Stegostoma tigrinum: one gene and its partners. The protein of the gene in region 3 purifies or fractionates together with the protein of the main gene of each other region. This does not show direct contact. Links are inferred from orthologs where the notes say so. Each region holds a gene or a part of one and is shown on either strand. Other genes may lie near its edges. The genes, in order: syntaxin-7-like, vesicle-associated membrane protein 3-like and stx8.

Region 1 (10,593 bases), on a different chromosome or scaffold from region 3:
CAAATATCAGGATGATGATAAAATATGGACTATTAATTTTTAAACTTTGGTAACTGGATTTGGACTGAAATTGGTCTAAAAAGGAATAAAAGTGGCTTAAAATGGCCAGAGCAATCACCTGACCACAGCCAGATTTCACAAAATCAAAACAAAATTAATATTTTATTAAAAGGCATCAAGACGAGTCAATGCAGTCAAACATTAAAAAAGCCTATTTGGTTTAACATCTTTCTGGGAATGTTTAAAAAGTTGAAGGGGGAACCTTGCTTACATTTAGCAAAACTGAAAAAGAACTTTTGAGATGGAATACACAAAACAAATATACATTTTGAAGAGCAGAGATGAATTTTGGCTTGCCCTAATGGGACTAACTGTAGAACATATTCTCTGTCTCACGAGGCAACAAAATGCCCAGTGAGAATACTGACTCAAAAGATACATAATACTCACAGATCAAAGAATGAATGTAAATAATTGCCAATCCTGATGACCTAAGGCTCAGTGGTTAGCACTGCAGCCTCACAGCACCAGGGACCCGGATTCGATTCCAACCTCGGGCGACTGTCTGTGTGGAGTTTGCACATTCTCCCCGTGTCTGCATGGGTTTCCTCCGGGTGCTCCAGTTTCCTCCCACAGTCCAAAGATGTGCAGGCAAGGTGGACTGGCCATGCTAAATTGCCCGTAGTGTTCAGGAGTATGTGGGTTATAGGGGGATGGGTCTGGGTGGGATGCTTCAAGGGGCGGTATGGACTTGTTGGGCTGAAGGGCCTGTTTCCACACTGTCGGGAATCTAATCTAATCTAAACAAACAACTGCAGCCTCAAGTTAAAACTTCACACCTCAAAGACACCCTAAGGCTTATGAATTATATAGAACATAGGAAGGAGGTGGTGATCGAGGCCACTCAACTCCTCTTTCATGTCAGCTCCTTGACATTTCAAAAATCCATCTACCTACCCTTTAAACATATTCAGTGATTTAATCTCTACAGTTCTCCAGGGTAGAGAATTACAGATGATAATGGGAACTGCAGATGCTGGAGAATCCGAGATAACAAAGTGTGGAGCTGGATGAACTGCCTCCAATAAAATTAAATTCCTTTCTTAAGGAAGAGACCAGAATTATCCACAATACTCCAAGTGCAGCCTCACCAACACTCTGTTACAGTGGAAGAAGGCTTCCCTAGTTTTAAACGTCACACCCTAGCAATAATTCCAGCCAAAATTCCATTTGTATTCTTAAATATGTAATACATCTGAAATGCTAACATTTAGTATTTCAGGGACAAGAATACTCAAATCCCTTTTGCTGCACTATTTTGGAGTCTGTCTCCATTTAAACAATTGCCTACCTCTTGATTCTTCCTACCAAGTGCACAACCTCAATATCCTACATTAAGCTCCATTTGCCAACTTATTTTGCCTATTCATTCAACCCATCTATATCCCATTGCAGATTTCGTGTCCAAATCACAACATGACCTCAACACCTATTTTTATATCAGCAAAACTGCATTTGTATAATCTTCTCCCACCTCCAAATCATTAATATAGAATGTAAACAAATTGAGGCCGTAGAGCTGATGCTTGTGACACTCCACTAGTTATGCCCTGCCGATCTGGAAAAAACCCATTAATCTTGACTTTGTCTTCCCTGTGTTCACTAATCTTCAGTCTGCACCAATACAGTACCAATACTGTGAGCTCCTGTCTTGTGCAATTACCTTTTATGCGGCTCTTATAACCTGCCATTTGAAGTTACTTTAAATTATAGCAAAGTGTTTATTTTAAGAGTAGAAAATGTATACAAATGAATTTCAAATATGTAATATGCTGCCAAATGAAGATGATGTTATACCTTAAAGAGTAGTGGTAATTGAACTTTAATTAATTGATTATGTAAAGAACAGAGGCACAATTGAAGAATATTAAAGAAATATGCCAAGGATATCAACTTCTGTCAGTCAGCAGGCTGATCATAAAGGAATTGTACTAGAAATGCGTAATTTGCAAGTGCTCACGACAACAATAATTTTTTATAAACTAAACCAAATTTAATACAGAATACCCCCAGGATGAAATAAAAATTACCAACCACAATTCAAAATGAACAAAGTTATAACTTCTAGCATTCAAGTTTCAAATTTCAAGCATCTTCTACTAAAAATCAGTGGCTCATATATAGATCTTGCAAATACTATATAAACAGAAATAAACCTAAAAAAATGGTTTAATATACCGACTAGGCAACAATGTTGTAACCTAATCAAGAATTTCAGTACATAACACCTGGCCTTCACTGATAATTTAGATCAATGTTTACACACTATGCAGGCAACCTTACAACTCAATTCTGACAGCTCATTAGAAATACAAGTTCAAAAGTACTAGTTACTATTCAGAATGTAATAAAACAGAATCACAAGATAATACTCTCCCACCTCTTTCCCCTCTCTCCTCCTCTGCTCCTTCACTGTCAATCCCCCAAGAGAGACTCATGCATTTTCATAATATTTCTTCCTCTCCCCAAAGATTTGATTTCGTATAGTACTTTTCACAACTTAAGACAGTTGAATGAAGTTTCCAGTAAATTAAGTACTTTCAAAGCCACTGTTTTGTTGAGGGGAAAACAATTTGTATACAAAAGACCTACAAACGGTCATATTATAAAAAGCATTCAGTCCGGTTTTAGAACGTCGATTCACAAGGATGCGTTAGTCTGGGTATTAGGGATAACTCCACTGTTCTTCAGAATAGTGTCGCAGGATATGTTTTAGGTCAAAGCAACATGATAGACATGGGAGATAATGGGAACTGCAGATGCTGGAGAATTCCAAGATAATAAAATGTGAGGCTGGATGAACACAGCAGGCCAAGCAGCATCTCAGGAGCACAAAAGCTGACGTTTCGGGCCCAGACCCTTCATCAGAGAGGGGGATGGGGAGAGGGAACTGGAATAAATAGGGAGAGAGGGGGAGGCGGACCGAAGATGGAGAGTAAAGAAGATAGGTGGAGAGAGTATAGGTGGGGAGGTAGGGAGGGGATAGGTCAGTCCAGGGAAGACGGACAGGTCAAGGAGGTGGGATGAGGTTAGTAGGTAGATGGGGGTGCGGCTTGGGGTGGGAGGAAGGGATGGGTGAGAGGAAGAACCGGTTAGGGAGGCAGAGACAGGTTGGACTGGTTTTGGGATGCAGTGGGCAGGGGGGGGGGGGGGGGAAAGAGAGCTGGGCTGGTTGTGTGGTGCAGTGGGGGGTGGGGACGAACTGGGCTGGTTTAGGGATGCAGTAGGGGAAGGGGAGATTTTGAAACTGGTGAAGTCCACATTGATACCATTAGGCTGCAGGGTTCCCAGGCGGAATATGAGTTGCTGTTCCTGCAACCTTCGGGTGGCATCATTGTGGCAGTGCAGGAGGCCCATGATGGATATGTCATCGAGAGAATGGGAGGGGGAGTGGAAATGGTTTGCGACTGGGAGGTGCAGTTGTTTGTTGCGAACTGAGAGGAGGTGTTCTGCAAAGCGGTCTCCAAGCCTCTGCTTGGTTTCCCCAATGTAGAGGAGGCCACACCGGGTACAGTGGATGCAGTATACCACATTGGCAGATGTGCAGGTGAACCTCTGCTTAATGTGGAATGTCACAAGGGAGAACACGCATCATCCTCCGAAACTTCCGCCATTTACAATCCGACCCCACCACCCAAGACATTTTTCCATCCCCACCCCTGTCTGCTTTCCGGAGAGACCACTCTCTCCGTGACTCCCTTGTTCGCTCCACACTGCCCTCCAACCCCACCACACCCGGCACCTTCCCCTGCAACCGCAGGAAATGCTACACTTGCCCCCACACCTATCCCAGGCCCCAAGATGACATTCCACATTAAGCAGAGGTTCACCTGCACATCTGCCAATTGGTATACTGCATCCACTGTACCCGGTGTGGCTTCCTCTACATTTGGGAAACCAAGCAGAGGCTTGGGGACCGCTTTGCAGAACACCTCCGCTCAGTTCGCAACAAAAACTGCACCTCCCAGTCGCAAACCATTTCCACTTCCCCTCCCATTCTCTAGATGACATGTCCGTCATGGGCCTCCTGCACTGCCACAATGATGCCACCCGAAGGTTGCAGGAACAGCAACTCATATTCCGCCTGGGAACCCTGCAGCCTAATGGTATCAATGTGGACTTCACCAGTTTCAAAATCTCCCCTTCCCCTACTGCATCCCTAAACCAGCCCAGTTCGTCCCCTCCCCCCACTGCACCACACAACCAGCCCAGCTCTTCCCCCCCACCCACTGCATCCCAAAACCAGTCCAACCTGTCTCTGCCTCCCTAACCGGTTCTTCCTCTCACCCATCCCTTCCTCCCACCCCAAGCCGCACCCCCATCTACCTACTAACCTCATCCCACCTCCTTGACCTGTCCCTCTTCCCTGGACTGACCTGTCCCTCTTCCCTGGACTGACCTATCCCCTCCCTACCTCCCCACCTATACTCTCTCCACCTATCTTCTTTACTCTCCATCTTCGGTCCGCCTCCCCCTCTCTCCCTATTTATTCCAGTTCCCTCTCCCCATCCCCCTCTCTGATGAAGGGTCTAGGCCCGAAACGTCAGCTTTTGTGCTCCTGAGATGCTGCTTGGCCTGCTGTGTTCATCCAGCCTCACATTTTATTATCTTATGATAGACATGGCCTCAGTTTACACCTCCGACAGTACAGCGTCTCCTCGGTGTTGCTATCGAGTTTTAGCCTTGTGTTTTGTGTTAAAATTCTGGAATGGCATTTAAGCCCAAATCTTTCTGACTCAGACATCTGAAAAATACCAAATGCGCCCCACAGCTAACATAAGATTGCAAATTTCTCCCATGTACACCAGTCACTTACGATTCTTTGCTAAATAACCCACCATCACCGGCAAGTTCGACGGTAACTGTCAACAAGGGAGGGTTAAGAGAGCCCGAGCTGTTCTACATTATGTGTTGAAATAAACAGAAACGGAAATCTCAGCCTTGTGGTCACACAGAAACCCAGGCGCCCCGTCAGAGTTGCTGAACACGGTGAGAAATCTGAATAACTGGGAAACCTTTTTACTGCCACCCCGGTTAGGGTCAGAGAAATCACCGCTGGGAGAGGGGAGGGGGAGGCAAACCTGGGACTGTCTGGTCATTCTTGTCGGTTGGGATCAATTCCTCCACACAGACGCACTCATAAGAACGTCCTTCAAGAGAGTTCCCTGGCTCAATGCTCCCTTCCTCACAAACAGCTCTATACTAGTTACAGGGCGAGGAAAGGGAGCGGGGAGGTGGGGGTGGTGGGACTGGGGAGAGAAGGGGCTGATCTCCCCGGATCAAGGGAAAGGGGGGAACCGGCAGAAACACTGGACTGGACAGCGCTGGGTTGGGCTCTTACCCACCGGGGTTGGCTGCTTCCGAGGCCCGGCCGCATTTCCAGGCGGATCCCTCCCCCTCAAGGCTCAGAGCCTAGCCTGCCTACCAGCACCAACAAAGACCGGGAGATCAGTGTACAGCGGATCCTACCTGTTCGGGACGGTCACTCAACCCCACCTACCCTGACGGTACCACCTCGGCCTCTGACCCTACGCCGGCCCCGCCCCCTTGATCCGCTGACCTTACCCACCCCGCACCGCACCTGGCTGCCTGGCGCGTGCGTAGATTGTCGCTGGCGGCCGAAGAAGGGCCTTCCCTGTCGATATATTGTATCAGATCTGCCCTGTCCTTGAAGGCAAAGGGGAAGCAGTATGTTTCTGGGGTAAAATTTAAGTTAAAAAAGTGACTTGCGTTGGCGTAGGGCTTTTCATGACTTCCAAACTTGACAGCTGATGAAGGGCTTCTGAAACGCAGTCAACACTCGCAATACCGGAAGTGCAGCAGCCACCTTTGTACAAACTCTACAAACACCAACTTTCTAATGACCACCCAGTCTGATGTCGTGATGTTCATTGCGAAATAAATATTGGCCAAGGAAAAAGAGATAACCTCCGCGGACTTTGTCAAAATAGTGCTGTGAGGTCTTTTACATGTACCAGAGGCAGATGGACTCTCAGGCATCTCAACCAACAAGAGTGCTAGAAGTGCAAGATTTTATCAGACCTTCAAGAAGATCCAGCCTTGGTGTATCTACTAAGTTCCTGGAGTGCGATATATCACAGAATACTGAGCTGCTTTAGTGCAGAAGGAAGCCATTCAAGTGATTGGGTTTGCACAGGCCCTCTGGGCTGTTTGACTTAATGCCAATCTCCTACCCTTTCCTCATAAGTCTGCACATTGTTCCCACTTAAATAATCACTTAATACCCTCATGAATGCCTCCATTGAACGTGCTTCCATCACACTTCCAGGTAGTACATTCTAGACGTGAACCACTTGCTCTGTGAAAATGTTTCCTTTCACCTCATGTTTGCCCCTTTGCCAAAACAGTTAAAATGTCTGCCCTTTTCATCCTCTTTTACAAGGTGAAACAGCTTCTCCCTAACTACTCTGTTGAGAGCTTTCCTGATCTTGAAAACTTCTTTCAGATCTCTGCTGAGTGTCTTCCCTCCAAGGAAAATAGTCCAAACTTTTCAAATCTATCACCATTGCTGAGCATTCTCATCCTCATAACCATTCTTGTAAACCTTTTCTGTACTCTTTCTGATATATTCGCGTGCATCCTGATGTATGGCACCCAGACTGTGCATTATTCCCTAGCTGAGTTCCAACTAATGTCTTAAATGAGTTCAGCATAACATCCTTGCTCTTGTGGTTTGTGCACCTATTAATAAAGCCAGGGATACTATATGCTGTATTAACCTCACTCCTCACCTGCTTTCTTGCTTTTAATGAATTATGCACCTATATACCCAGGTCTCTCTGCTCCTGCACTCCCTTTAGAATAGTATCTGTTTTTTACTCTGTCTGTCCCCTTTATATCTGCATGTTCACCTCACAATTCTGCAAATTGAACTTCAACTGCCATTGATACAACCACTACACCAACTTGTCAAAATCCTTTGAAGTTTTATACTGCCATCCACACAGTTTACAATACTTCAAAATTTTTTTATAATTTGCAAAATTTAAAATTATCCCCTGTCAAAAGATTTCACATATATTGAGAAAATGTAGGGGAGGTGATGGCCTAGTGGTATTATTACTGGACTGTTAATCCAGAGACACAGATAATGTTCTGGAGACCTGGGTTCGAACCCCTCCACGGCAGATGATGGGATTTGAATTCAACAAATATCTGGAATTAAGAATTTCATGATGACAGTGAATCCATTGTCGATTGTCAGGAAAAATTCATCTGGCTCACTAATCTCCTTTAGGGAAGGAAACTGCCATCCTTACCTGGTCTGACTTGCATGTGACTGTAGACCCACAGCAATGTGATTGACTCTTAACTGCCCTCTGGGTAATTAGGGATGGGCAATAAATGCTGCCTGGCCAGTGACACCCTCATCCCATCAATGAATAAAGGAGAAAAAGCAATACCAATCCCTGGGAAACACCACAACACTAAGTTTCCTTCAGCTCGAAATATAACCATAGGCCATTACTTTCTGATTCCTGTCACTCTCACAGTTGTGTATACATTATACTCACTGGTACTTTTATCCCACATGTGGCATTGTATTAAATGTCCATTGAAAGACCATGTATACCACACAACTACCTTACCCTCATCACTTCTGTCTTATGTATTCAAAAAAATCCAGTGAGTTGGTTTGATATAATTTTCCCTTAAGAAATCCATGTTAGCGCTCTTTAATTAACCTGGAATTGTCCATGTGACAATTAATATGACACCAAAAATATTATTTTAGAAATTTCCACATCACCAAAATAAAGCTGATTTATAATTGCTAGACATTTCCTTATATCCTTTTTTGAAAAGGGCAAAATGCAATTTTCCAGCCTTCAGGCAACACCCCTGTGTCTAAGGAAAATTCGTCAGTTAGTTTTGAAATGAACTGGAGGCCAGATGCCACTTAAAGAATCAAATAATCAAACACAATCTATATGAAAATTTATTGACGACATGCATTACAATAAAATTAAACATGCTAGCATAAAATTTCAGATTTTTTTTAACCACATGACTATTATCAACATGTACTTGATATTTAACACATACAATGGATATTCTACAACATTTTATTACTGTTTTAACACAGGATCAGTGTATTGACTGTGTGATATTCTTGCTAAATGCTTCCAGGCTCTGGATTGTGCAACCTGGTATTGTTAATCCAATCTGCCATGTGATAGCCAGGTATGTAATTCATGTGACTTAATATTTCTTTGTGATGTGGTTGAGTCAATATCCAATATAACACGAAACTGAAGTGCAATCTCATTTAACTTTAAGAAAAACATTGTACCGGGGTTTGCTGATGTAGAACTAGAGAGTTAAAGTTAAGGATCAAAAGTCCACCCACTTTATTTTCTATAATTGATCTAAATGAAATCAGAAACACATCTACGTAAAATTTACAACTATTTTCTATCAATCAAAATAACTCCAGTGTTTTATGTTCTGTAAAACTTTGCCATTCATTTTGCCATAACAAGAAACATGTTACATAGTACTGCTAAATTTAATGTGATTAATATTTTTGATATGCATTATTTTTTAGCTATTATAATTTTCAATGTGCCTTAAACACCAGCTTAGCACATTCTGAAGTATCCTAGTAAATTCTCTTTGCTGGATTGGCACAAGTAAATGCTATAAGTTTTACATGAAGCTTGGTCCTTTATTTAATCCTTCTTGTGATGATAAGATTTTAGTTTAAATGCACAAATGAAACAACTTTGTCTTGTTGTAAAATAACTCTATTTCCAGATTTTTGAAATGAATTTGATTCTCAGATAGCCTTGATTAGATTTGTACTCATTTTTATTGATTGATAATGTAGACCGATGGATCACAAGTTCAACAGCAACAATTTGTATTTATGGAATACTATTAGCATAGTAAAAGGTTTTAATGTAACTCTTAATGGCATTACCAAACAAAATTTGATAATAAACCAAGCGAAAATAATTCAGGACAGGTGTCTAAAAGCTTAGATAAAGATGCAGGGATAGAATTTTCACTTTGGGTAGAATTGCCAGTTTTGGCACTCATTGCACTCAAAAGTAAACCTAATTTGAAATGTGAAATAACAAAGTGTAGAGCTGGGTGAACACAGCAGGCCAAGCAGCATCATAGAAGCAGGAAAGCTGACGTTTCGGGCCTAGACCCTTCTTCAAAAAGGCCTGAAACATCAGCTTTCCTGCTCCCATGATGCTGCTTGGCCTGCTGTGTACACCCAGGTCGAGACCTTGTTATCTCGAATTCTCCAGCATGTTCAGTTCCTACTATCTCTGAACTAATTTGAAATGTATTTGTTTTGCCAATGACAGAACTATGGCAAGAAATCTGGGCAATTCAAATGAGAAGTGATAATGGGAACTGCAGATGCTGGAGAATCCAAGATAATAAAATGTGAGGCTGGATGAACACAGCAGACCCAGCAGCATCTCAGGAGCACAAAAGCTGACGTTTTGGGCCTAGGCCCTTCATCAGAGATTCAAATGAGAAGCCCAGTGAGGCCTTTATTGACATCGGGAGCAGCTGATTGCTTTTTCCAATAAAATTCCAGTTGTTGAAATGGGATTCTTGCTGAGTATTGGCAACATTCATGTATATGGAGATTATTGTTTGTTTTCAGCCTTGTAATGAAGATCTTGCTACATTAATATGCAACTTCCCATCCTACCTCCTGCTACAAAGAAACTCAATGCTGAGAATTTTCCACATGGAAGTCTGAGCAGGTGCTTGGCTTCTCCAGCTCACCACTTCCACTTCCAGATCACCATCTTGGACACCCAACACCAAACCTCAGGGCACGGTCCGTGGGCAGCTGATGTCCACGGATCTTGTCGTTGGACACTTGTCAGACTCTTTGAATCATCATGGCACATCTCCAATCTAGTTGAGCCATGCTGCTTTGTGGTCATGCGCACCTCAGGGCACACCAACAATTATTGTAATACTGCTGCGAGGACACTGTGCACACATGGACAGACATGCAGCTCACAGATTGAATCAGGCTGCATTTTAGAATTAGTAGGAACTGCAGATGCTGGAGAATCCGAGATAACAAGGTTGGAGCTGGATGAACACAGCAGCCCAAGCAGCATCATAGCAGCAGGAAAGCTGATGGATCTAGGCCCGAAACATCAGCTTTCCTGCTCCTATGAAGCTGATTGGCCTCTGTGTTCATCCAGTTCCACACCTTGTTATTCTTGCATTTTAGAATTGTTCACTTGCTATCATAGTACTCACTTGAGCCTACTTGGATGCTCACAGCATTTAAGCCTTGTCTTGCCCTTTACACTTTGCCACTCAGTCAGAGCTCTGGGTCTGTCAAAACCCCATCTTACTTTGCAATTTAGCTCTTTCACGAAGCCACAACAGATACACAACATACACAAAAGATGAAAAGAAGAAGAAGATGAGCAAACCAAGTTATCTAGATCTAGGACACACTTTGAAAGATCTTAAAATACATAGCAAAACAAAGTGTCATCTCACTTCCCCACATTATCTGTC
Region 2 (10,593 bases), on a different chromosome or scaffold from region 3:
ATACCACCCTACCCTATCCCTGTAACCATGCCTTTCCCATGGCTAATCCACCTAGCGTACACTTCCCTGGACACTATGGGAAATTTAGCATGGCCAACCCAACTAACCTGCGCATCTTTGGACCACGGGAGGAAACTGGAGCACCTGGAGGAAACCTGCACAGATGCAGGGAGAACATGCAAACTCCACACAGTCACCCAAGGCTGGAATTGAGCCCAGGTCCCTGGCACTGTGAGGCAGCAGTCCGAACCACTGAGCCACTGTGATGCCCATTTGTTTTTCGTCAAGAAAGATTCCAATCTCTTTAACTATACTATCTCCTAAAATCACTACATTCCTTTTTGTTGCCCCCAACTTGAATGATTTCTGTACCACAGTGTCACAGTTAGTGCATCCATTAGATAGACCCTAACCTCAACCAAACAAACTAAAGGAACCTCAAACCTGTTGACAATTATAAAGGTTCCTGCCCTCTGGTTCTCCTTAGCTGCCTCATTTCTAGCCACACTCTCTTGTCCCTGAACACTGACCAAGTCAGAAGATCATATCCTAACAGGTGTGACTGGGTCTAGGTACAAAGAAGCCAGATACATTTCCGTCTCCCTAAACTGTTGCAGTGTCCACTTCATAAGCTGAGTCAAATCTGCTCAAATCTCAAATACTTGCTGCAGACGTGCATGTCCTGGATCAAGCTGGCATCCAGGAGCTTCCCAAATGCTACATCTGTGACAAATCACCCACCCTGCCATTCTTAATGTGTTCTAATTAACTACTTAATTATTTTATTCATTTATACATTTTCCCATTTTTAAAATATACTTTGTTAATTTTATCACACTTTTGAACTTTAGGAATAGATTACACCTTGGTCATTTGCTCGATGTTCACCAAATGACGAACTTATTCTGCTGTAGCCAATTTCTTAAATAGAAAAAGTAAAATCAAAAGAGCATTTCTTTCCTTTCTTCCCCTAACTCCTTAACCACCCAACCTCCAAAACTCTCATTTGGAAAGTCGCACTAAGTTGGAAAGTGTTAAGTAATGCTCCGAGTACAAAAGGCCTAGTTGATACAGCTACAGAGAAACTAGTTTCAGCAGATTGAATTTAACTCATCTCAGTTGTACTTCCAGGAGACCTGGTTAAAAACAAAGAACAGTACAGCACAGGAACAGGTCCTTTGGCCCTCCGAGCCTGTGCCAACATATTTTGCCCTTCCATACTAAAACTGTCTTCAATTACAAGATCAGTATCCCTCTATTCCCTTCCTATTCATGTATTCAACCAGGTGCTTTTCAAATGCTGCTATTGTGCCTGCTTCCACGACCTCCCCTGGCAGCACGTTCCAGGCACTCACCACCCTTTGTGTGAAAAACGTGCCTCACACATCCTCTTTTAAAACTTCCCCCCCATCCCTCGCACCTTGAACCTGTGTTCCCTGGTAATTGATCTCTTCATCTTGGGAAAATGCCTCATACTTACCTCTCAATCCATGCTATTCATGATCTTATAAACTTCTGTCAGGTCATCCCTCAAAATCTTAAATTATAAGGTTTATAATTTCTAATTTAAACTGCAGATTTCAGTTAAAAGCTAACTACAAACAGAATTATATTTGTACAAAAAGATTAAAACTTTCTTTCCCACCAACTCCAGCATTCAGTTCTCCATAAGTCTTGGCACTGCTACTCAATGACAGCATCTGAAAACACATACAAGATTGGAGCAGGAGTAGGCCACTGAACCCCTCAAGCTTGCTCTGTATTTCAATAAGATCAATAAGCTTGCTGATCTATTTACTCCTTGTTCCTATCTATCCCCGATAACCTCTCACTCTCTTGCTTATCAAGAATCTTTCTACCTCCGCCTTAAAAATATTCAAAGACTCTATCTTCATTACTTTTTGAAGAAGGGAGTTCCAAAGATTCACGACCCTCTGCAAGAAAAAAAATCAACCTAATTGTTGCCTTAAATAAATGACCCCTTATTTATTAACAATATCCCCTCATTTTTGATTCTCCCACAAAAATATCCTTCCCAAATCCACTTTGTCAAGACCTTTCGGGATCTTGTATGTTTCAACTCATTCTTACTTTTCCAACATGCAGGGGATACAAGTCTAGCCAGTCCAAACTTTCCTCAGAAGACAATCCATGCATTCCAGATATTAGTCTTCTAAACCTCTCTGAATTACCTTGTACACATTTACATCTTCATTAAATAAGAAGACCAATACTGTACACAGATATTCCTGATGTGGTCTCACCATCACCCCTTATAATCTCCCTATTTTTCTCTTCAATCCTTTTGCATTCTATTGGATTTTCTAATTACTTACTGTACCTGCATTCTTGCCTTTTACAAATCATGCAGTAGAACACTTAGATTCCTCTGCATCTCAGAGCTCTGCAATCTCCATTTAAATAATAAGCTTCTTTCTTATTGTGTCAAAATGGACAATTCGACATTTTCCCAGATCTTTATCCCATCACTTAAACTATCCAAATCCCTTTTAGCCTTCTTTGGTCCTCTTCACATACTCTTTGTGTCTACAGAAAATTTAGCAATGTACCTTCAGTCCATTCATTCAAGTCATTGAAATAAACTGTAAAAGGTTGAGGCCCCAGTGTTGATTCCTGTGGCAAACTACCATTACATCTTGCCAACTAGAAAATGACCCAATTATTCCTATTCTCTGTTTCATGTTAGTCAGTCCATCTTCTGTCCATACCAATATGTTAGCCCTACACCATAAACTTTTACTTTCCGCAATAATCTTTGATATGGTATCTTGGCAAATGCCTTCTAAAGTCTAAGTATATTACATTCACCAGTTTCCCTTTATCCACAGCATCTTACTTCCTCAAAAAATTCCATTGGGTTAATCATGATTTTTCTTTCACAAAAGCACATTGACTTTGCTCAATAACCTTGAAAGTTTCTAACTGCTCAGCTTTAATGTGCTTAACAACAACTTTTAGCATCTTCCCTGTGAGAAATGTTTAGTCAACTGACCATAGAGTTTTCTGCTTTGTGTCTCCTTCCCATTTTGAATAAAGTTACGCTTGCTATTTTCTGATTCAGTTGAATCTTCCCTGAATCCAGGATGTTTTAGAAAATGAAAATGAATGCATCAATTATCTCATTAATCACTCCGTTTAAATCTTAGGCTGAAGTCCTTCAGGATTTGGGGACCTGTCAGCCTACAATTCTAACAATTTGCTGAATGTCACTTCTTGGCAGTTGTAATTCTCCCGATTTTCTCCCTGCCTTCACTTTTTTTTGGTTTCAAGATATTTCTAGAATGTTACTTATATCCTGTTTACTAAAGTGTAGTACCAAATACCTGTTCAATTCATCTGACATTGGCTTAGTTTACATTTTTAATTCCTCAGACTCATTTTCTGTTGGACTAATACTAAATTTTCTGTTTTATATCTGTAGAAACTCTTGTCATCTGATTTTGTTTTTCTAGCTAGTTTTCTCTCATACTCTAACTTTTCCCTCCACATGGAATTTTTTGTCAGTCTTTGCTTTTTTTTGTGAATCCTGTCAAATTTTCAATGTCAATTTCCAAATGTTGAAAACACCCAACTCTACCTCACCTTCACCTTAAAGAGTCAGAAAGTTGAACAACATACAGTACTTGATTAACAGGAATGTTCTCCAAGCAAATGTTGCAAAAAGTCAAGAACAAAAACAAAGTTTCTGGAAAAGCTCAGCAGGCCTGGCAGCATCCGTGGAGGAGAAAACAGAGTTACCGTTTTGGATCCAGTGACCCTTCCACAGAGTCATTGGTTCTTGTCACAAACTTAATTCATTAGCCACTGACTTTATCCATCTCAGTGTAATTATTTGAGGCTGCCCAAGACTGTTCATATTCCATACCCTCAGGATCATATTTTGCCCACATATACACCTTCATCAAGGCCGTGTACTACCAACTCTGCAACACAATTTATCTCCACCCTGCACCCTGACCAATGCATTTTTATCTTTAAACTTACCTTAAATCCCAATGCATTTGTGACCTCATAACAGCTGTAAACTTGAGGTCATCCAAAATCTACCTACTATGTTCTAACTTGCATTCATATCTAGGCTTATTGATCTATAGTGTTCCCACTTCAGCAATAAATCAGTTTCAAAATTCTCACCTTTTTAAATCACTCCATGGCCTCACTAATTTCCTGCTCTCTGTTTGCACCTTGGAACCCCCTCTGTTTTAATCATTCCACTGTTGGTGGCTTGCCTTCAGCTGTCAAGGACCTAAACTAAAGTTGAAAACCAAAAGAACTACAGATGCTGGAGATCAGAAACAAAAACAGAAGTTGCTGGAAAACCTGAGCAAGGTCAGAACTGAAAGAAGGGTTACTGAACCTGAAATGTTAACTTTGCTTTCACTCTGCTTTCTCTCTACAGATGCTGCCAGACGTGCAGAAATTTTCCAGCAATTTCTGTTTTTGTTCCTAAAATTCCCTTTCTAACTGTATATATTTAAATCAATCTAATTTACATGTTGTATTAAGTACGAACTTGGTATATGGTGCTACTTTCAGGAACCAATCAGGCTCATTACATCATTTTCCCCATAACATAAAGTATTTTCCTCCTACATTTATTATGATGCAAACATGGTGACATGAGAAAACCTTCCTCCCTTAAGTTATACAGTTTTAATGCTTACCAAAATCATCTTTCTGGTTTATACAGCGCAGCTAACTGGGCAGAGTACTAAAAACAAAATCATATTTGAATTTTTCACCTTTCAACTTTTTGTGGCCCCCTCAGTGTCCATTTTTTTTGCTTGTTAATTGCTTCTGCGACGGATGGAAGTTATTGGTGGCTCAAAGCCAAGTGGGGAGCTTCCCTGTCATGTTTTGTAATTAGAAACATCCAATTAAACTTTTCCCAAAGGCTGCCCTCATTGGTGTATTGGCATGTAACAGCGAAAGGGGTAAGTGAAGGATCGGTGTTGGGAGTCGGATTTATTACTGCTGACACCGGGGAGGGGGGGGGTTGGGAAGTGGTGACGTCTCCAACCTGCTGACAACACCCAACTTGTAAGGTTCAGCAGTTCGGGGTCTGATTCGACCGGTTTGTTTTTTATCTGGGAAACATGTAAGTTCGTTTCGACGTTGCTTCTGCTTCTTCTTATTTCCTTAAGTCGGCCTTTCGGAACGATCTCCGACACCACACCGCGCTCCGCTGAGAGCAGTCCGGAGCCCCGTTGAGTTTCCAGGCGAGCCGCAGGCTTGTGTTTGGAGGGAAGGCCGCAAACTTGTGTTTTAATTCCCCAGCGTAGAAACCAGGGGTTTTATAGGGTTCAGCCTTTTAATTTCTTAAATGTTAAAATTCCGTACAAATTCTAAACTTTAAACTAGTAACACCTTGAATTAATATTCCAAAGTGCTAAAGTTGAGTTGAGATAAGCTGAACTGTTTTGAAAAAGGAAGTATCTTGTGGCTTTACAATTCATGATGAAATTAATTTAAATTTAGTTTCTGTGGTTGTAATATTTTATTGTTTCATTCATGTATTTTTAAGTGTCTTAGTTTTGATCCTGTTTTATATAATGAAGTTGAGTGGTGCTTTTTTTTTGCATTGTGAATTACTGTTTAATGTTGATCAGTTCAGGCAAGGTACTTCCAGATATTGCTGCATTTAGAAGCTGAAAGAAACATTTTGTCACTTTTTTTGCCTTTAGCATGAAAGGAAGCTGGTTGGGGCATTGTGTGAAATGTTTTTCTATGGTGGGTACTTGGGGTTTTTTTGTTCACTTTTAAGGAACTTGGGATTTGTGGTCTCTAAGTTGGTAAATGAAAGAAGGAACTTTTATGCAGTAAGTGCAGAGGTCTTCCAGGATCCTCTTCTGGACTTTCTCTTTAATGGACTGTTACCTCACTACTACTGCTTATAATAACAAGTAAAATCTGGAATGTTGAAAGTAGAAATTTGAATTTCTTCATCTTACCTGTACTCCGGGGATGTTTGTTGTATTTGTGCTTGATTCAAAGTTGGGCAAGAGTGGACTGTGGCAAAAATGCATTGTGTGATACATGCTGTTCTGTCAGACTTTCGTGAGTTAATAGTTTTCCATTAACGCAAATCAATGCTTTGGTTCCCAATTGTTGCTTTCCAAAGGCAGTAAATTTGTTTTTTCTCTTTTAGATTTGAGTATGTTCCTTTCCTCTTCTATTTAAATAGAATGTGTTAGTAAATTCAACTGTTTAAACATGGTTTAGGGAAATGTTCACGTACCATTCCTGTCTTTTGAAAAATTTGTTGTAAAGTGTGGTTTGTTTACAAGGCCATTGTCGGAAACTCGACTCCTTTACCACTTGGTTGATCTTGTGGCAAATTGTACCAGTTGTTGTGAAGTAACTGGCACCCTATTGGTGCAAATTCTCAATTTGCTCTGAGCGTCACTTTAAAGCATAATTCATGAGAGACCTGTGTGTGGATGCAACTAAACTACGTCAACACTGCTCAGTTCACTATGGCGTCAGCCTGTTTGGGCCAGAATTGTAGACAATTAGCCTTTGAAATAATTATAGTTCAGCTGTGCTTGTTTGATTGGATGTGTGAACTTGTGCCAAACTGCATTAAGTCTTCAATTTTTTGTTGTGGAATGAGTCATGGTGTTTGAACAGGACTAGGATCAGGTGGGGATAGAGCACTGTTATCTTCATTTGATATTACTTTTACTGAAAGATTAAACTATTTAATGGGAAGTAACTTTGGGAACATGTCAACTTATTCCATCTATCTCAAGGAAACCAGAATGTGACTCTTAAAATGTGTAAATAACTTCTCAACAACCATGTTGAGACATCCTGATCTGTTAACAACAGGGTGTTGTTTGCTGTGTAATCAATCTAGTATTCTAGTTTGTTTTATTGCATTGTTGTTTGTACTCTGATCAAGTAAAATAACAGCTTATTTGTACAGTGCCTTTAACACCGTGAAATGTTTCAGTGCTTCAGTGTTGAGACAATTTCACATTAAGTCACGATATTAGCACAAGTGCAAGTTAGTGTTCTAAGTACTTAAAAACTAGTGAGGAGGCAGTTGCAAGGCTTGAGGTGAAGACCATGAAGTAGTGAAGTCATGGAAAGATTTGAAATCAAGGATAAGCATTGGCTGTGCTAACGCTTCCATTTCCAAATGTAGATAGGCAAGGATCGCTGAATGTGTTTTAAGGACAGGATCAATAGACTTTAGGTGTAAGACTGTTGAAATTTGCTGATCTGATCAAATTGTTTTCAACAACTAAATCTTCATGATTTTGTCTCTACTACTTTACATGGTGTTTGTGGATGCAGTTCCCTTCTCAGACATTTCCCATTGGAAAGGACAAAATCCAAACAAGCTTTAACAAAAAAAATTAACCATTGTTTCCAATCTCCAAATGCTGTTGAATGCATTAAACTTGGTTCCTAAGTTAGAGAAGGAAACTATCACTTGTGGAGCAAAACACAAGTGCAAATTGCCCTGGCTTCCGTGTGGATATTTTGAGCATTGACAGCGATGGTGGAGTTTGTGGTGCAAAAATGGCCTGAGCCTACCCTGTCGACCTGTAACTGGACTTGCCTAAATGTCTTAAAGTCCACCTGCTTATGATGCTGTTCTGGCTGAGATCAGACTGACTGCACCCTTATTTATTAGTGTTTTTGTTTTTCTGTGCATTACTTTAACTAGCCTATCTGAATTTCAAGAGGAAAAATCTAATTTGTTTGAAACCCCTCCTTATCTCTCAAATAACACCTAGTGTAATAACTCACCAATATCAGCACTCCCTCAATCCTCTCAATTCTGGAAATTTAAAAAAAAACTGGCGTAATGATGACTCTGTAACCACTGGTGCTTGGCAGAACTCTATCCAGACAGCTCTCCAACAGTCATCGAAATGAGTTTTACTCCAGCAACAGCTTGATTCTATGTAGTTTCTTTAAAACTTCCAGAAGCACTTCACAGATCCTTTAATAAAACAAATTTTTGATATTATACTCATTGTATGATGAGTATGTTGAACTGGGTTGGACAAGGTCAGAAGTCACATGACACCAGGTTTATAACCCAACAGGTTTATTTGAAGTCATAAGCTTTTAAAGCACTCCCCCCTCATTCACCTGACAAAGGGGCAGTGCTTCAAAAGCTTGTGTTTTCAAATAAACTAGTTGGACTGTAACCTGGTGTCATGTGACTCCTCACCAGCTACTGCTTAGATATTGGGGCAGGAAACCAAGATCATTGAGAATTTGGGCATCTTGGAGAGAATTATAAGTGAAATCTGGTGCCTGGACGTAGGCATGAGGAGTGGCAGATGGAGTTGAGGTTAGATAAATGTGAGGTGCTACATTTTGGAAAGACAAATCAGGGCAGCACGTTTACACTGAAGGTTGTGGGGAGTGTTGCTTAATAAAGAGACGCTGGAGTGCAGTTTCGTAGTTCCATCAAAGTACAGCCACCGGTAGAAAGGATATGAAGGAGACATTTGGTGTGCTCGCCTTTATCGGTCAGTGCATTGAGGATTGGAGTTGGGAGATCACTTAGCAGCCATATAGGACATTGATTCGGCTGCTTTTGGAATACTGCCATCGATTTTGGTCTCCTTGCGAGAGGAAGGATGTCGGCGCAACAATGAGGGCCGAAGGGCCTGTTCTGTGCTGTCTTGTTGTATGTTGTATGTATGTTGTAATACTAAAATGTGCAGGAATACACAGTTTGAGGGGTGCATTCTTGGGAGCATTGTAAGGTTGGAAAGACTGATCCCACGGATGGGTTTGCAAAAATAGAATGAGAACATGACTATACCTTTGTTAATCTCAAATGTAGGTTATTGACAACAGGGAGATGGGTGAACAGATATTGCTTGAAGTCAGGATGCCAGACTTTTTTATTGCTTTGAGGCTCTTCCTGTTCAGCAGGCTGCTTTCATAAGGAAGCAAAGCCCTGTAACACTCGCGCTCTGACATGAAAACGATAACAGCTGGAAATACTGTTTGACCTGATGGGTGTGACTAGACTGAGAATGTTGAAGTTTGAGTTGGATTGATCTTTTCAAAGCTGCCTGACCCACTGAATGTGTCCAACATTTTGTTGCCCTTCAGTCTTGCAGTTATGCTGATCTAATTTGAGCTAACAAACACATGATCCTCTTTTGCTTTATCGTAAATTGTGAAGCATTTTTTGTTTTGAAATTCACCCAAGATTCTATAATCCCAAATGGTGTACATGGAATTTGGGAAGAAAGCACCCCTCCCTGCCCTGTCTTGTTACAGGGCCCTTGTAGCAAAACTTTTTTACGTTGCTTTTAACAATGGTTTAAAAATTGGTATTGAGCCAACCAGTCTGTTAAAAATGTGGCTAGTTTTTACATTGTGCCTGCTGTTTCAATAGCAGAGACCTTTTGTCCAGCTCTTCAGCTGTATTCAATAAATAAAACAAATTGCATTTTCTCAATTCTGGAGTGCTCACCTAGTGAAATACTTTGTGTAGCCATTTAGCAAAATATGATGGCCCGTTGCAGATATACCAGGACCTTGCTGTAAATCATGAGTGTCAATCTTATTTCTATTCTTCTATTTGTGGTTAATTTCATCTGACCAGACAGACCTAAGCATAAATTATTTCAGTTTAATATCATAAAGATATCCTGAAGGTGAAACTCTTCAATGCTTGTGAGATGAATGGAACAACTCGCTCAATATTTTTGTCTGTCATTCCTTCTGCAGTTGCTTGTCATCGTGACCAGTACACATATTGACAGTTGCTGTCATTAGATCAAAACCCTGAAATCTAGTGGGACTATTGGCACGCCTTCACAGATACAAATGGAGACAATTCAAGATGACTGAATACTGCCATGGGCAAATGAGGAAAAGCTGTAATTGCTGGTCTTGCCTGTAATACCTTGCACAATGATAAAAATGGGAATTAGTGGCTGTCTTTCTAACTTGTAGTCTTAAATTTGGATATCAAAGCACCTATTGAATTCACTGTGCACATGGATGCCTTACCACTGACACCACTACATAATAAACTGTTGCAGTAGGGCTGTGGTTAATATTCACGTGTTAATGTCGTTCGGCCTGTAGAAAATGCCACACAGTTAGAGATGAGGGACACTGGGTCCTAAACATTGTCACCAAATATAGATGTGGAAATTCATGATCCTTTAGTTATAATTATGTGATTCATTTCCATCTGACTGCATCAATATCTCTCTCATGACCATTCTCCCAGTGACCTCCTTGGTAATTGCTGCTTGCAGTTGTTGACAGTTCAGTTTTTTTATGATAGTGATTTGAATTTTTTTAGTATAGTTTCTACTCTCTTTTAAAAGAAGCCTTGGTGTTTTTTCCCCACTAATAGGATTGGCAAAGCTGACACTTCCTTACTGCCCAGATGAACAGTGCATGCAATTAATTAGTTTTGTTCATGGCAGGAAGTGTTCACAGGGGATATGATGTGTTTTTATATGGTTGATTTTTGAATGTTGTTCAGGACCTCTGACCTTGCACCAATGAAGTTATGTTCCAAACTAGGAGGCGTCTTTGTTTTTTTTTAGTTTGAAGCTAAATGTAAGTGAC
Region 3 (10,593 bases):
AGACTTCAAACGTTCTGTGACAAATTTAGTGCTTATCCACTGTCCAGCAATTTTTCATTTGTTCAATGTTTTTCAATGTTGAGGTGGAACGCAGAATGCCATTTTACTGAAGTGAATGGCAGGGCAGAACATTTTGAACAGCAACTTGTTAAAAATGGTGTTTAACCATGCCCAAAATTGTTGTACCATAGGTACCTAAACACAGCTCAGCACTATTAACTTCACTGTTGATCTGAAAGAAACATTGTGGTCATTAAATACTGAAAATTTGAAACTAGGAAAAAGTGATTTTGCCCACAAAAATCTATCATTCCTAAGGCCCATGTATGAAACTTTTGCAGCATTGAACAAAACTGACAGATGCCCAATTGATAATTCAAAGCAATTTAATCTATCTTTACAATACAGCAGTATGGATCTAAAAATAAATCAAAGGAAATGAAAAAGTTCAGCTGCATCAAAAGCAGGTCAGTTTACCATTCCTATTGTTTGAAGGAAAAAGATGCTGCTCTTAATCAAATCCATTGTTGTGTTGTAAAAATGTTTCATTTCGTGATTCATATGTTTTAGGAGTATAACTATGAATTTAGGGTTGCAAAATGTTTAACAAACATAATAGAAATGGGAAATCCTGGATTTGAGAAATTTGTAAATAGCTGTAAGGCAATGATAATTCCAAGGATAGAGTCATAAAGTTGTACGGCATAGAAACAGACATTCAGTCCAACTCGTCCATGCAAACCAGATATCCTAAACAAATGAGATAACAGGAACTGCAGATGCTGGAGAATCCGAGATAACAAAGTGTGGAGCTGGATGAACATAGCAGGTCAAGCAGCATCTCAGGAGCACAAAACCTGACGTTTCGGGCCTAGACCCTTCATGAGAGAGGGGGATGGGGAGAGGGTTCTGGAATAAATAGGGAGACAAGGGGAGGTGGACCGAAGATGGAGAGAAAAGAAGATAGGTGGAGAGGAGAGTATAGGTGGGGATGTAGGGAGGGGATAGGTCAGTCCAAGGAAGATGGACAGGTCAAGGAGGCGGGATGAGGTTAGTAGATAGGAAATGGAGGTATGGCTTGAGGTGGGAGGATAGGTGAGAGGAAGAACAGGTTAGGGAGGCGGGGACAAGCTGGGCTGGTTTTGGGATGCGGTGGGGGAAGGGGAGATTTTGAAGCTTGTAAAGTCCACATTGATACCATTGGGTTGCAGGGTTCCCAAGCGGAATATGAGTTGCTGTTCCTGCAACCTTCGGGTGGCATCATTGTGGCACTGCAGGAGGCCCATGATGGACATTTTGTCTCAGGAATGGGAGGGGGGAGTTAAAATGGTTCGCGACTGCGAGGTGCAGTTGGTTATTGCGAACCGAGCGGAGGTGTTCTGCAAAGCGGTCCCCAAGCCTCTGCTTGGTTTCCTGAATGTAGAGGAAGCCACGCCGGGTACAGTGGATACAATAAACCACATTGGCAGATGTGCAGGTGAACATCTGCTTTATATGGAAAGTCATCTTGGGGCCTGGGATGGGTGTGAGGGAGGAGGTGTGGGGGCAAGTGTAGCACTTCCTGCGGTTGCAGGGGAAGGTGCCGGGTGTGGTGGGGTTGGAGGGCAGTGTGGAGCGAACAAGGGAGTCATGGAGAGAGTGGTCTCTCCGGAAGGCAGACAAGGGTGGGGATGGAAAAATATCTTGGGTGGTGGGATCGGATTGTAGATGGCGGAAGTGTCGGAGGATGATACCTAAATAAATCTAGTCCTATTTACCAGCATTTGGTTGAAATACTGCATCTGCTGCACCCGTTGTGGCTTCCTCTACATTGGGGAAACCAAGCGGAGGCTTGGGGACCGCTTTGCAGAACATCTATGCTCGTTCGCAATAAACAACTGCACCTCCCAGTTGCGAACCATTTTAACTTCCCCTCCCATTCCTTAGACGACATACCCATCCTGGACCTCCTGCAGTACCATACTGGTGCCACCTGCAGGTTGCAGGAACAGCAACTCATATTCCGCTTGGGAACCCTGCAGCCCAATGGTGTCAATGTGGATTTCACCAGCTTCAAAATCTCCCCTCCCCCCACTGCATCCCAAAACAAGCCCAGCTTGTCCCCGCCTCCCTAACCTGTTCTTCCTCTCACCTATCCCCTCCTCCCACCTCAAGCCGCACCTCCATTACCTATCTACTAACCTCATCCCGGCCCCTTGACCTGTCCGCCCTCCCCAGACTAACCTATCCCCTCCCTACCTCCACACCTATACTCTCCTCTCCAACTATCTTCTCCTCTATTCATCTTTGGTCCACCTCCCCCTCTCTCCCTATTTATTTCAGAATCCTCTCCTCATCCCCAACTTCTGATGAAGGGTCCAGGCCCGAAACGTAAGCTTTTGTGACCCTAAGATGCTGCTTGGCCTGCTGTGTTCATCCAGCTCCACACTTTGTTAACTCGGATTCTCCAGCATCTGCAATCCCCATTATCTCTGATCCCTCAAACATCTTCCTATTCAGGCACCCATACAGATGCCTTTTAAATGTTGTGATTGTACCAGCCTCCACCACATCCTCTGGCAGCTTATTCCACACCCACATCACCCTCTGCATGAAAAAGTTGCCCTTGGATCCCTTTTACATCTTCCTGCTCTCACCTTAAACCAAAGCCCTCTAGTTTTGAACTCCCCTACCCTGGGAAAAAGACATTAGCTATTCACCCTATCTCTGCCCCTCTTGATTTTATAAGCCTCTGTAAAGGTCACCCCTCAGCCTCCGATTCGCCAGGGAAAACAGCTCCAGCCTATTCAGCCTTTCGCTATAGCTCAAACTCTCCAATCCCAGCAACATCTTTGTCAATCTTTTCTGAACCTTTTCAAATTTAACAACTTCTTTAGAGTCCACATTTCCTTAAATTGGTTAGAATTAGAGGTGAAACCACTGACTAATAGGCGGTCCTGTGTCGGCTTCAGAATGGAGCCAGTGAAGCTGGTAAATTGCAGTTGATTCCACTGTAGTTATAAATTACTGATGTCCATCCCAGAATCAATGGGATTAGAGTAAATTTGGTAGTTGTTTTTGATTAGTGTGGATGCAGTTGGCCAAAGAGCCCTTTTCTGTGCTGTAGATCTCTATGAAGGATGTTTGAAAGTTAAAATTAATTAGCTTACATCCCTACCAAGGATATCCGAGGGGTGTCAGGTTGTTCGGGCAATATATTGCTAAGTTTTAAGAATAAGAAACACACAAAACAAAAATATTGAGAATAAAAATACATGTATAAATCACATATAAATTTAAAATTAAACCTAGTGTATAGTTTTCTCATTTAAAATTTCATACAAATAATGCCTACTGGGCAGGCGTGATGTTGAGATTTTATAATGTTTCTGTTAAGAGGAACTGTAAAATAATAGTATCCATCACTTAATTTACCTTGGAAGGATTACCTCCTGTTGTCTTCTGTCTATTACGCTCATGAATATTTTCAGCAATTTCCTGTGCTAGATGACAGGAGGAATCATATTTCATTAACCTATAGAACAAGAGAAAGACGATTACAGATATCCAAACGTGAATCAAATTAAAATGCTTAGAACGCAAATTTAAACAGCACTGAAATATATTCTAATAGCATTTTCCTATGACAGTTTTGGTTACCCCCTTGCCTATGTCACAGGATAAGTTTCAAGTCTCTTTCTCACATGTTCAAAGACTTGAACTACTTGGACAGATCCACACAGCATGAAGAAGCTGCTGCAAACTTCAGGATGCTGTCACCGAGCTGACATGTTAAACTCATCCCCCTTCTGTCTATTCTCACGTTTTAAGTGGATATAAAGGTCTCTTGCTTAATTAGACGGGCTCTCAATGACCTTCAAATTCGCATGATCAAACAAGTTCATTTGCGCCTGATGGGATCTTACTGCGTTTAAACCAGCAACGCCAATTCAAATACGATCACAGTGAATAATATACTCTTTAAAGTTACAGACCAAGAAAACACATCTCTGCATCACCAAAATAATATTTGACACGGAGACACATAAGAGAACATTATGGACAGATGACCAGGAGAAGAATCAAAGTGGGAGATTTTAGGCAGCAACTTAAACGAGATATGTGCAATAGAACAGGAAGAGAGATTTAGGAAGGGAATTTCAGAGCTTAGTGGGTACAGAGAGGACAGATGTTACAGGAGCATTTGAAAAGGACGAGAATTTTTTAATCTAGGCGGGGTTTAACCCGGAGTCAATACAGGTATTGAGCCCTGCCCCTTACAAAAGACATCTCACAAACCCGGTGCTGTAAAGATTCCTGATTAAAGGATGTTTTCCTCTCACACACAGCACAGCTCACCCACTTTGAGATTGTGGGGCTTTCCCTCGCACAACAACCGCAATCGGCTGAACCGGAGGCGGCTGATATGAAAAAGCGGGTTCGAAATACCCACCACCACCAACCCCTCCCATTTCCCATTTCCCATTTCCCATACCAGGGCTCCCGGGCCATCTCTATCTCTCTCTCTCTCTCACTCTCTCTGTTGTTGTTGTTGTTGCTCTTTACTTCCTGGTTTCTGTCCGTCTCACATTTCGGCACCAAATGTCACAACCTCCCGGAACTTTGGTTCCGGGCGAGATTTCTCGCCTTTCAACCACCTCCTCTTCCGCAGCCTCCCAAACCCTCACCCCACACCTGGCCCTCCAGTTCTCCCCCGCCTTGTCACCGGCCCCTTCCTCTCTCCCTCTTATCACCTGCCCCTCTAGTTCTCCCCCGCCTTGTCACCTGCCCCTTCCTCTCTCCCTCTTATCACCTGCCCCTCTAGTTCCCCCCCGCCTTGTCACCTGCCCCTTCCCCTCTCCATCTTCTTATCACCTGCCCCTCTAGTTCCCCCCGCCTTGTCACTTGCCCCTTTCCCTCTCTCTTTCCATTACCTGCCCAAGTAAATGACGCCAAATCTGCAACAACCATCCTTGGTCCTGCACAAACTGAGGGGAAATCAGAGTTGAGTCAATGGAACATCATGATTTCCTACTTTGGAAAAGTTATGTGAATAATTTAACTTTTGAAAGTTGCCAATAGCTAAGAGTACCACGTTTCCCTCTCAGCCACACATTCTCCTGCCTTTTAAGAAAATCATTCATGGGATCGTGGGTGTTGGTGGGCAGACCAGCATTTATTACTCATCCCTAATTTCCCAGAGGGCATTTTAGAATCAATGACATTGCAGTTCTGTTCTACATTCCTTCAGCATCATTGGATCAAAACATTGGAATTGCCTTCCAAACAGCACTGTGCTGGGTATCCATACACAACGTAACATGACAGTCCTCTCAAGTGTGCTGCAGTATTCAAGGAGACACCATCAACATCACCTTCTCTGGGGCGATGAGAGGTGGCCAATAAATGCTGGCCTTGTCAATGTCACCAAAATCCCATGAAAAGTTCAGGGGAGAAAATCTGCTAATTTTAAAATCAGTGGAGTGTATAACTACCAGATAATTATTTTAGAAATATACAGATCATTCAAGATATTTTGAATAAAATACACATTAATGAACCAACTGTGCAATATAAAGTATCAGATTTTCAAATTCTCTAAAATTGGAAGGAATAAGAACCAAAAGTTACTTTCACTTTGTTTCATGGTATGGATATAGTGAAGCAAGTTAGTATTAATTGTACATATTTACTTGTTAGATTATAAACAAATGATATTTCAGAAGTTACAGCTGCCAGATTGGCTTCGATATTGGGCTAACAATTAAACAAAGATGTTCATCATTGATTTCACAGAAAGCCTTCTTGAAAGAGCTTGCAATTTCAGTGAACAGAACTTGAGTCTTTTCACAATGCAGTTGACTGCAGCATTTTTGATGGGGATTGAGTGGATCTCCAGGCATTTTGAACAGTCCAAATAGCTAATCACTTGAAATAATTGTCATAACCAGTCCAAACAGGAAATAAAAGTATTAAAATCAAAATAATTTTAATAACTTGCAGAATGACAGAATATTCACTGCAGGAAAGGAGACCATTCAGCCCACCATGTCTGCACAACCCTTTAAATGTCCGTATCATTCAGTGCCATTTACTAGCCCTCCCCCTAGAGCCCTAAATATTGTTTCTCATCAAATAATACTGAATGCATCTAATATAAAACGTTGGCAGTTACTCCTCATTGAGCAACGTAATAACTTTATCAGAGATGATGAGAACTGCAGATGCCGGAGAATCCGAGATTACAAAGTGTGGAGCTGCATGAACACAGCAGGCCAAGCAGCATCTTAGGAGCACAAAAGCTGACATTTCGGGCCCAGACCCTTCATCAGAAAAGGGGGATGGAGAGAGGGTTCTGAAATAATTAGGAAGAAAGGGGGAGGCAGATCAAAGATAGTTGGAAGAGAAGATAGGTGGAGAGGAGACAGACAAGTTAAAGGGGCGGGGGTGGCGCCTGTAGAGGAGAGTATAGGTGAAGAGGTAGGGAGGGGATAGGTCAGTCCGGGGAGGACGGACAGGTCACTGGGGCGGGATGAGGTTGGAAGGTAGGAAATGGAGGTGCGGCTTGAGATGGGAGAAGGGGATAGGTGAGAGGAAGAACAGGTTAGGGAGGCGGGGACAAGCTGGGCTTGTTTTGGGATGCAGTGGGGGGAGGGGAGATTTTGAAGCTTGTGAAATCAACATTGACATTGGGCTGCAGGGTTCCCAAGTGGAATATGAGTTGCTGTTCCTGCAACCTTCGGGTGGCATCATTGTGGCACTGCAGGAGGCCCACAATGAACATGTCGTCTAAGGAATGAGAGGCGGAGTTGCAATATAAGATAACCAACAGGATAGCATGTGTACAGGTAGGTTTCAGCTCGAGGCAGATGGGGAATACAGCAAAAAGAAAGGATAGCTTAAGACATTTTAGGATTTCCAATCTCTCTAACAATGATAAGAAAGTTAGCATTAAGGCACTTTACCTAAATGCTGGTAGTATTCGCAACAAAGTAGATGAATTAACAGCACAAATCCTCTTGACTGATTATGCTGTGGTAGGCACCACAGAGACATGGTTGCAGGGAATTCAGGGCTGGCAGTAAAACATTCAAGGATTTACAACTTATCGAAAAGACAGGGAGGTGGGCAGAGGGGGCGGGGTTGCCTTGTTAATTAAGAATGAAAATAAATCTACAGCACCTAATGACATAGGGTCAGAGGATGTGGAGTCTGTGTGGGTGGAGTTGAGGAACCACAAAGGCAAAAAAACTATAATGGGAGTTATGTACAGACCTCCTAACAGTGATCAGGACCTGGGGCGCAAGACGCACCGGGAAATAGATAGCGCATGTCAGAAAGGCAAGGTCACAGTGATCATGGGGGCTTCAATATGCAGGTGGACTGGGTGAATAATGTTGCCGGTGGATCCAAACAAAGCAAATTCATGGAATGTTTGCAGGATGGCTTTTTGGAACAGCTTGTGATGGAGCTCATAAGGGAGCAGGCTATTCTGGACTCAGTGCCATGTAATGAGCCAGACTTTATAAAAGACCTTAAAGTAAGGGAACACTTAGGAGACAGCGATTATAATATGGTAGAGTTCAGTCTGCAGTTTGAAAGAGAGAAGGCAAAATCGGATATAATGGTGTTACAGTTAAATAAAGGTAATTACAGGGCAGGAGAAAGGAATTGACGAAAATCGACTGGAAGCAGAGCCTAGCGGGGAAGACAGTAGAGCAACAATGGCAGGAGTTTCTGGGTGTAATTGAGGACACAGTACAGAGGTTCATCCCAAAGAAAAGAAAGATTATCGGGGGTGGGAATAGACAGCCATGGCTGACAAAGGACGTCAGGAAATATATCAAAGAAAAAGAGACAGCCTATAAAGTGGCCAAGAGCACTGGGAAATCAGAAGATTGGGAAGGCTACAAAAACAAACAGAGGATAACAGAGAGAGCAATAAGGAAGGAGAAGATCAAATATGAAGGTAGACCAGCCAGTAATATTAGAAATGATAGTAAAAGCTTCTTCCAATACATAAGAAACAAACATGAGGCAAAAGTAGACATTGGGCCACTCCAAAATGATGCTGCAAGGCTAGTGATGCAAGACAAGGGAATAGCTGAAGAACCTAATAAGTACGTTGCGTCAGTCTTCACAGTGGAAGACATGAGTAGTATGCCAACAATTAGGGAGAGTCGGGGGCAGAGTTGAGTATGGTAGGCATTACGAAAGAGTAAGTGCTAGAAAAGCTAAAAGGTCTAAAAATTGATAAATCTCCTGGCCCCGATGGGCTACGTCCTAGAGTTCTGAGGGAGGTGGCTGAGGAAATACCAGAGGCTTTGTTTGTGATCTTTCAAAAGTCACTGGAGTCAGAGAAAGTCCCAGATGATTGGAAAATTGCTGTTGTAACCCCCTTGTTTAAGAAAGGATCAAGGCAAATGGTAGAAAATTATAGGCCTATTAGCCTAACCTCAGTAGTTGGTAAAAATCTTGAATCTATTGTCAAGGATGAGATTTCTAAATTCCTGGAAGTGCAGGGTCAGATTAGAACAAGTCAGCATGGATTTAGTAAGGGGAGGTCATGCCTGACAAACCTGTTAGAATTCTTTGAAGAGGTAACAAGTATGTTAGACCAGGGAAACCCAGTAGATGTTATCTATCTAGACTTCCAAAAGGCCTTTTATAAGGTGCCTCATGGGAGGCTGCTGAGCAAGGTGAGGGCCCATGGTGTTCGAGGTGAGCGACTGGCTTGGATTGAGGATTGGCTGTCTGACAGAAGGCAGAAAGTTGGGATAAAAGGCTCTTTTTCAGAATGGCAACCGGTGATGAGTGGTTTCCCGCAGGGTTCAGTGTTGGGGCCGCAGCTGTTCACCTTATATATTAATGATCTGGATGAAGGGACTGGGGGCATTCTGGCGAAGTTTGCCGATGATACGAATATAGGTGGACAGGCAGGTAGTACTGAGGAGGTGGGGAAGCTGCAGAAAGATTTAGAAAGTTTAGGAGAGTGGTCCAGGAAATGGCTGATGAAATTCAATGTGAGTAAATGCGAGGTTTTGCACTTTGGAAAAAAGAATACAGGCATAGACTATTTTCTAAATGGTGTGAAAATTCATGAAGCAGAAGTACAAAGGGATCTGGGAGTGTTGGTCCAGAATTCTCGAAAAGTTAACGTGCAGGTAGAGTCCGTGATTAAGAAAGCAAATGTAATGTTGTCGTTTATCTCAAGAGGGTTGGAATATAAAAGCAGCGATGTGCTTCTGAGGCTTTATAAAGCTCTATTTAGGCCCCATTTAGAATACTGTGTCCAATTTTGGGCCCCACACCTCAGGAAGGACATACTGGCCCTGGAGCGTGTCCAGCGGAGATTCACACAGATGATCCCTGGAATGGTAGGTTTAACGTATGATGAGCGGCTAAGGATCCTGGGATTGTACTCATTCGAGTTTAGAAGGTTGAGGGGAGATCTAATAGAAACTTACAAGATAATGTATGGCTTAGAAGGGGTGGACGCGAGGAAGTTGTTTCCGTTAGGCGGGGAATCTAGGACCCATAGGCACAGCCTTAATATCAGAGGGGATAAATTTAGAATGAAAATGAGACGACATTTCTTCAGCCAGAGAGTGGTGGGCTTGTGGAATTCATTGCCACAGACTGCTGTGGAGGCCGGTACGTTAGATGCCTTCAAGGCAGAGATCGACAAATTCTTGATCTCACAAGGAGTCAAGGGCTATGGGGAGAGTGCAGGGAAGTGGAGTTGAAATGCCCATCAGCCATGATTTAAATGGTGGAGTGGACTTGATGGGCCAAATGGCCTTCCTTCCACTCCTATGTCTTATGGTCTTATGGTCTTAAATGGTTCATACTGGGAGGTTCAGTTTATTGCGAACTGAGCGTAGGTGTTCTACAAAGCAGTCCCCAAGCCTCCACTTGGTTCCCCAATGTAGAGGAAGCCACGACGGGTCCAGCAGATGCAGCTTACCACATTGGCAGATATGCAAGTGAACATCTGCTTGATGTGGAAAGTCTTCTTGGGGCCTGGAATGTGGGTGAGGGAGGAGGTGTGGGGGCAAGTGTAGCAATTCCTGCGGTTGCTTTATATGTGGTTTCAAACAGCAAGAGCTGAGTGGAAGAGACTAAGTTCTTACAACATCTACTGGTTTCATGCTGCTTCTGATTAATGACGTGGGTTGGTGAGTGGAAAGGGATGTAGGTGGTGTGGATTGGCCACAGTACAGTCTAGGAACCATCAGCTGTCCTCGAGCAGCAAGTGGCAGTCTGCAACTTCATGATTTTCATGTTTGTCTCCACTTGCTGTGAATGCTGAAATTGTGGCCAGCTTTAGTGTGTAAAGAAAACAAAGCTGGAAATTCACAGGTAACTGTTCTTGCAAAATTCAAGTCAATATTGCCAATGTTCCTTCATTCCAAACATAACACCAGCTGTAGGACAACCATCTGGAAGCTGGTGCCCAATGGTACAACCTGCAAGGCTAATTGAATGAAACTGCAGAATGCGGCTGTAAATAATGAAGAGAGTTCTCAATTTAGTGATGAGGTCAGTCATGGCTCATTTCTGAGTCTGAAGTTTGTGGGGTTCATGTGTCCTTGGAGAGACTTAACCATATAA

What was found.
Region 1: the proteins of stx8 (region 3) and syntaxin-7-like purify together in Homo sapiens (affinity purification with mass spectrometry; 5 studies listed by BioGRID and IntAct, counting the BioPlex papers as one, with this or other methods). This does not show direct contact. The link is inferred for Stegostoma tigrinum from reciprocal best matches to the Homo sapiens genes STX8 and STX7.
Region 2: the proteins of stx8 (region 3) and vesicle-associated membrane protein 3-like purify together in Homo sapiens (co-immunoprecipitation; 3 studies listed by BioGRID and IntAct, with this or other methods). This does not show direct contact. The link is inferred for Stegostoma tigrinum from reciprocal best matches to the Homo sapiens genes STX8 and VAMP3.

The regions. Positions count from the first base shown.
Region 1 is NC_081357.1:71,866,234-71,876,826, forward strand, and holds the start of syntaxin-7-like, read right to left. Parts: upstream 5,894-10,593; 5' UTR 5,791-5,893; intron 5,614-5,790; exon of another isoform or gene 5,530-5,613; intron 5,508-5,529; exon of another isoform or gene 5,406-5,507; intron 5,265-5,405; exon of another isoform or gene 5,142-5,264; intron 4,899-5,141; exon of another isoform or gene 4,877-4,898; intron 473-4,876; exon of another isoform or gene 451-472; intron 1-450. UniProt on the Homo sapiens protein: May be involved in protein trafficking from the plasma membrane to the early endosome (EE) as well as in homotypic fusion of endocytic organelles. Mediates the endocytic trafficking from early endosomes to late endosomes and lysosomes.
Region 2 is NC_081381.1:24,204,485-24,215,077, reverse strand, and holds the start of vesicle-associated membrane protein 3-like, read left to right. Parts: upstream 1-5,010; 5' UTR 5,011-5,117; coding exon 5,118-5,119; intron 5,120-10,593. UniProt on the Homo sapiens protein: SNARE involved in vesicular transport from the late endosomes to the trans-Golgi network.
Region 3 is NC_081375.1:31,211,653-31,222,245, reverse strand, and holds the start of stx8 (syntaxin-8), read right to left. Parts: upstream 4,581-10,593; 5' UTR 4,492-4,580; coding exon 4,475-4,491; intron 3,515-4,474; coding exon 3,415-3,514; intron 1-3,414. UniProt on the Homo sapiens protein: Vesicle trafficking protein that functions in the early secretory pathway, possibly by mediating retrograde transport from cis-Golgi membranes to the ER.